Linked DNA regions of Ovis aries. The protein of the gene in region 1 purifies or fractionates together with the protein of each later gene. This does not show direct contact. Links are inferred from orthologs where the notes say so. Each region holds a gene or a part of one and is shown on either strand. Other genes may lie near its edges. The genes, in order: MAP4K1 and NUDC.

Region 1 (3,820 bases):
TCTACTGCTGCCTCCCATCCCCAGGTTTTTCCTGATGTATCTGATAAACAAGGACGAGACAGAACACACGGGCCAGGTAAGCGTGTGTTATTGGAAGGACAATGGGCAGAGACATGGTGAATTTTAATATAAGGTCAGTCAGCAGGTGGCAGTGAAAAGCTCATGTCAATATGAAGCATTTGAAGATGTGACCAACTAACTCTTCCCCATCTCCCACCCCTAGGAGTCTTACGTCTGGAAGATGTACCAAGAGAGATGCTGGGATTTCTTCCCGGCTGGCGATTGTTTCCGCAAGCAGTATGAGGACCAGCTTAGCTGAGACACCCCTAGCTGGCCCTTCACCCCCCACCTCAAGTGCCTTATTCTCACAGCAAACCCCACAGCCCTCAAACCCCTCCCCCCAAGGCAGCTGGGGGAGGGGTGACCATGTACTGACGAATAAAGTCTGTGCTATACCCCTGACATCATTGTGTTGGATTGTTGATTTTTGGGGGGCGGGGGGGGGGCATCCAGGAATTCCGCTCTCCTCTCCTTCCCCCGACCCCAAAATCAAAATGAAAGCAGAGACTGAAGTCATGTTTATTGGGAGACAGGGGCATGCCAGGATCAGGAGTGTGTGTCCACTGGGGAGGGAGATGTAGAGACTGGTTCCTAACACCCCCTCAGGGACTCATTCCTGGATGTAGAGGTTGCTGGGGGCAGTGGGATCATCTGCTGGGCGCGTCTCCACCACCACAGGCCTGGGGAAGGAAAAGAGAAGTCAGTTCATTCACTCATTTACAGAGATGTCGATAGAGTTTGTGCCAGCATAGTGCTGGGCTAGAGCAGTGGATGAGCAGACACGGCCCTCGCCCTCAGGAGACCAACATGAATCAGTGAATTAGATGAGTACAAAGAAGCATGAGGCACATAGCAGGGAAACCCAGCTCAAGGGGTCAGCCAAGGTGTCACTAAAGAATGGATGGTAGAGCCTGAAAGAAGTTCAGGAGGGAACTTGATGAAAGGGCAGGAAAGAGCGTTCTGGGCAGAGAGAACAGCCTGGGCAAAGGACTTACATGGGAGAGGGCTTGACTGCACAAGTCATGGTTTGTAGGCTGTGACCAGGATTGGGTATTTATCTTGAGGCCACAGGAAGCTTTTAACCAGGTGGAGAGTGACACAATCAGATCTAGATTTTAAAGGACACCTCTGACATATTGAAAGGTCAGAGAGATCCTTGAAGAAGCTCTCACTGGCTAAATCTGTGAGTATTTGTGCCTCAGAACAGATAATGATAGTAACAGATTATAACCCATAGAATAAAATGAAAATCAGCTTCCCTGGTGGTCCAGCAGTTAACAATCTGCTTTGCAATACAAGAGACACCAGTTTGATCCCTGGCCCAGGAAAATCCCACTTCCCACAGAGCAGCTAAGCCCATGAGCCACAGCTACTGAGCCTGTGTGCCTAGAGCCTGTGGTCCACAACAAGAGAAGCCACGACAAGACAAGCCTACACACTGCAATGAAGAGCGGCCTCTCGGCAACTAGAGAAAAGTCTGTGTGTAACAACGAAGATCCACCACAGCCAAAAATAAACAAGTAAGTAAATCTTTAAAAAAATATATAAAGTGGAGGATCATCTTTTTAAAAAAGAATAAACAAAAAATCCTTGAGACTATGCTAAGATACACACAAACACACAGTCATATATACACACATACATACAAATATACATACACGGTGGAGAAGGGACAGCTCTTTCCTACAGTAGAATGCCGACTTAGAAGAAATGATAGAAATAGGAAACTCACCATTTAATAGACTCAGGCAAAAATCATCAAGTCATGGTAAAATTAGGTGAAACAATAATTTTACATTGTCTCAAGAAATTACCCCCAAAGAATACTTATTTATACAGAGAAAAGAAGAGTAGCATTATAGTCAAGAAAGCTGGCTCATTCCATTTTAACCAAGTGACCGACCAAAGATAACCTCACCAGTAGTGGGACAAACTGACACACACTTCCTGATCCAATGTAGTGAGAAGGATACCCCATCACTTCTGTGGTATTCCTGCCCCAAACGTGTAACCTGGAAACCTCAAACCCAACTAAGGGACATTCTGAAAAACAAATTTCCTGTACTCTTCAAAAGTGTCAAGGTCATGAAAAGCACAGGAAGTCTGAAGAACGTTCCAGGCACAAGACTAAAGAAACATGACCCCAAAATGCAGCCTGTAATCCTGGATGATATCATGGACCAAAAAAAAAAAGTATTATTTTTTGGTTACAAAGAGCATCATTGGAACAACTTGGTGAGACTTGAGTGGGTGTGTGAAATTAGAAGATAGCGCTATCTCGGTGCTCTTTTCTTGATTTTGACAGCTGTATTGTGGTTTGTAAGAGTATGTCCTTGCCTTGATTTAGGAAACATACACTGAAGTATTTTGGGGTAAACTGGCATCATGCTTGCAATTCATGTGCCAACAGAAAAAAATTACACATATATGCGAGGCAAGAATAAACCAAATGTGGTTAAAAATAATATACAGGGAATCTGGGTGAAGGGGATACAGAATTCTTAAATTTATTTTTGCAACTTCTCTGAATCTAAATTTATATCAACATATCACTAAAAAGTTTAAAAAGAATGAAAATTCCACCTTCAGGCTTCCCTGGTGGCTGGGTGGTGAAGAATCTGCCTGCCAATGCAGGAGACACGGATCCAATCCCTGATCTAGGAAGATCCCATGTGCCATGAGGCAACTAAGCCCGCGCACCACAACTACTGAGCCTGTGCCCTAGAGCCCGGGAGCCGCAACACAGCCAAAGCACAGCCCCAAATAAACTAATTAATTAAAATTTTTTTAACAAAAGAAAATTCCACCTTGGCTGCTCTATGGGGAATAGACTATAGGGGACAGAGATAGAAGCAGGGAGACCAAGTGAGAGGATGTCCAGGCCAAAGATTCAGACGGCTGGGGACACCTCAAGATACCCTCTTTACATCCAAAGCACCCCCCCTCCCTGGTCCTCTGTCCTCTGCTCGAAGTTCATACCTGGGGGAGCCAAGCAGACGGAAGGTGAGGGTGGGATCTCTGAGCTCCTGCAGCAGCTGGGGAAAAAGGTGCTGTATCAGTGTCTAGAAGACTCCTCCCCTCTCCCTTAAAGAGAGTAAGGGGCAAGGTCTCTGAACTCCTCAGGTCCAGAAATAATCATTGCTGCTAACACCACTCATCAACTGTGTGACCTCAGGCAAGTTACTTAACCTCTCTGCACCTCAGAGCACTAACCTTTGAAATCATAATACCTACCTGACAGGTGATCCCGAAGATTAAGGAGAATACAAAAGTGTAAGGGCAGAGCCTGACACATGGTGTTCTGTGGATTAAGCATCATTTTCACTCCATTTTCCGGATGAGAAAAGTGAGGCACAGAAAGATTAAGCTATTTGACTAAAATCATTCAGCTGGATTCCAACCCAGGTAGTCTGGTCCATGCTCTTAACCCACTTGTCTCTATTTGTGACCCCATTTTACAGTTAGGAGTCTGAGGGAGGCTCAGAAAGAAGCGAAGTCACACAGTGACCCTGGTTGAGCTCTGGTCCCAAGAGACACTGGAGCAGAGACGGGGACCTGTCTGAACTGAGCCTAGAGAAGTGTCACCTCCAGGGACTTTACACCCTGAGTGAGTCTGTTCTCCCAATGGATCTGATGAGTGAGATGATTGACGTGGGAGGGGCTTGCGGGTGCTAGGAGGAAGGAGCTTACCTGATCCGAGCCTAGAGCCCAAACCTGCACTCCATGCTTCCAGAAGGCCTGGAGCCGACCCCCGACCATA
Region 2 (2,520 bases), on another chromosome or scaffold:
TTCCAGGCAAGAATACGGGGGTGGGTTGCCATTTCCTTCTCCAGGTCCATTAGGTTTTTTTCTGGTTTTTATTTTGGGTCTGAATTTTTATTATGGGTCTTAGTTGCCATGTGCGGGATCTTCCTTGTGGCATGTGGGATCTTTAGTTGCAGCACATTGGACCTAGTTCCCTGACTAGGGATCGAACCTGGGCCCCCTGCCTTGGGAGTTCAGAGTCTTAACCACTGGACCCACCAGGGAAGTCCCTCCATTAGGTTTGTATCAATACAAGCATTCAGTTCAGCAAATACTTGAACACCTACTCATGCCAGAGACTGTTCTAAGTGCTGGAGGGAAAACAGTGAACCAGACGTAGAAAGCTATGCCCCTCTGGAAGCCCGCGTTCTCCCCTCTCAGAGAACTGGGATGCAGACCCCAGTAAGTGAACATGGGCTCTGTGAAGCGCCAGGGTCCAAGGAAAGAGTCCCATGGCATGTACTGCCTGGCCCAGCCTACCTGACCCCCTTGGCTGCCTCTCACTCACCCCTCTGTGCCCTTGCCCTTGCATTTCCTCCCACCTGGAATGTCCTTCCCTGCTTTTTAACGTGGTTCACGCGTGTCGTTTAAGGCCCAGCCCTGTGTGTCATCCGAACCTCTCCCTCCACCTGATGAGTATCTCCCTCTGTACTTTATTCTTTCCGTTATCATGCTGACTGTCTCCGTGTCTGTCTCCCCCAGCCACCGGGGAGGGCAGAGGTCTTGCCTCTCTGCCCCTAGGTCCCAGTTCAGGCCTTGTAAGTCCCTGATGCAGGATGTGGCTGGGAGAGAGTTTGGTTCTGGAAGAGCTGGGGGGTGGTCACCAGGGTCCAGAGTGAGCCACCACCCGTCCCCGGGTGGCCCTCCTCTTCCTCTCAGATTAACAAGATGGAGTGGTGGAGCCGCTTGGTATCCAGTGACCCCGAGATCAATACTAAGAAGATAAACCCCGAGAACTCCAAGGTGAGCCCAGGCTGCTTGGAGGAGCTGCGGTCGGGAGGTTTGGGGCCTGGGTGGCCCCAGGCCTTCACCCACCCTGTCACTGTCTGCCCCCAGCTGTCAGACCTGGACAGTGAGACCCGTAGCATGGTGGAGAAGATGATGTACGACCAGAGACAGAAGTCTATGGGGCTGCCTACCTCCGATGAGCAGAAGAAACAGGAGATTCTGAAGAAGTGAGCGATGCAGAGATGGGGGTTTGGGGGAGGTGTCTACGGCTGGGACCTGGGTGACAGTGGCAAGTGTTTACTGAGCAGAACACAGGAGCTGCCCCGCCCCTTCCAGGATGAGCCAGCCAAGTTTATGGCTTTATAGCCTTGGCTTGCCTCCCCTAATCACTTACTGAGGTCATCTTGAGGGCAAGGCCACCACAGGATAGGAAAGGGTAACAGGCGGTCACAGTTTCCAACAGAAAAAGCAGTGCCGGTGTTGGCACCTCAGCATCCAGCCTTGGGGAGACCTTGGGGGCCCCACTCCTGTCTGGCATGGCTCCGGGTTGCTGAGAGCTGTAAACAGATGAGACCTCATGTTGGAGGCTGAGAGAAAGGGACAAATTTAGGGAGACGGATGGCCTGTCTCACCTTCCTGCTTTGTCTCTGCAGGTTCATGGATCAGCATCCAGAGATGGACTTTTCCAAGGCCAGATTCAACTAGCCCCTGTGTTTGCTCCCCTGAACTCTCTAGGCTGAGCTCCCGGCTCCCCACTTTCCTCTCCCACCCTCCCTGGGACTGGTGGGCCACAGGGCCAGGGCAGGCACGGGGCTGGCTGGCACACACAGGTCCCAGGCCATCATGGGAGAAGGGCTGGGGCCTTGGGGGGGGGTCTTGTCCTCCTCAGCTGGCCTGCTGTTACACATTAAAACCATTTACCCAATTCCACTCACGTCTTCTCTTCCCTCTGGCCTTTCTCTGGGGTTCAGGCCTCTTAGGACTGCTGCTGTGACCTGGGGGCTTGACTGCTCACCCAGGCTCTGCTGTGTGATCTAGGGCAAGTCTTTGCCTCTCCCTGGGCTCAGTTTCTCATTACTTAAATAGAGGATCCCGACAAGGCTTTTAGTCTGTGTATGATTTTGAACAAAAGGGGTTGGTTATAGGCACCAAACAATGTCAGATTCTCCAAGGGGCCCATGACTCAGCAGCACTTAAGACCAGCCTGACTTGATTTCCATTTTCATCTCTGAGACAATTTCCCACTGCACTGGGTCTGTCCTTTAGTCCTGGAGCAAGTGTTTCTAAAACTATACACTACTTCCCAGAGGCAGAGAGCAAGCAGCAAAGCCTAGGGGCACCGCCTAGGCCTCAGATGGGCTTTGTGTGTGGTGGGGATCTGGCTGGGAAGGCAGGGGGAAGCCCAAAGGAGCCTGTTGTGTGTCTTTGACCTGGACCCTTGCAGATTTTAGGGCTTCTCAGGAGTGAGCCACTGAGGCTGGAGAGGTGTTCTCTTTTGCCCCAGTCCAGCCACCAGAGCTGACCCTTGCCCCGCTTTGGCAGGAAGTACAGGTCACA

What was found.
Region 2: the proteins of MAP4K1 (region 1) and NUDC purify together in Homo sapiens (affinity purification with mass spectrometry; 3 studies listed by BioGRID and IntAct, with this or other methods). This does not show direct contact. The link is inferred for Ovis aries from reciprocal best matches to the Homo sapiens genes MAP4K1 and NUDC.

Annotation. Positions count from the first base shown.
Region 1 is NC_056067.1:47,739,234-47,743,053, forward strand, and holds the end of MAP4K1 (mitogen-activated protein kinase kinase kinase kinase 1), read right to left. Parts: coding exon 3,751-3,820; intron 3,096-3,750; coding exon 3,040-3,095; intron 741-3,039; coding exon 671-740; 3' UTR 566-670; downstream 1-565. Other genes in the region: RYR1 (ryanodine receptor 1), read left to right, coding at 25-76, 224-319. UniProt on the Homo sapiens protein: Serine/threonine-protein kinase, which plays a role in the response to environmental stress. Appears to act upstream of the JUN N-terminal pathway.
Region 2 is NC_056055.1:240,000,832-240,003,351, reverse strand, and holds the end of NUDC (nuclear migration protein nudC), read left to right. Parts: intron 1-894; coding exon 895-978; intron 979-1,071; coding exon 1,072-1,190; intron 1,191-1,616; coding exon 1,617-1,668; 3' UTR 1,669-1,893; downstream 1,894-2,520. UniProt on the Homo sapiens protein: Plays a role in neurogenesis and neuronal migration. Necessary for correct formation of mitotic spindles and chromosome separation during mitosis. Necessary for cytokinesis and cell proliferation.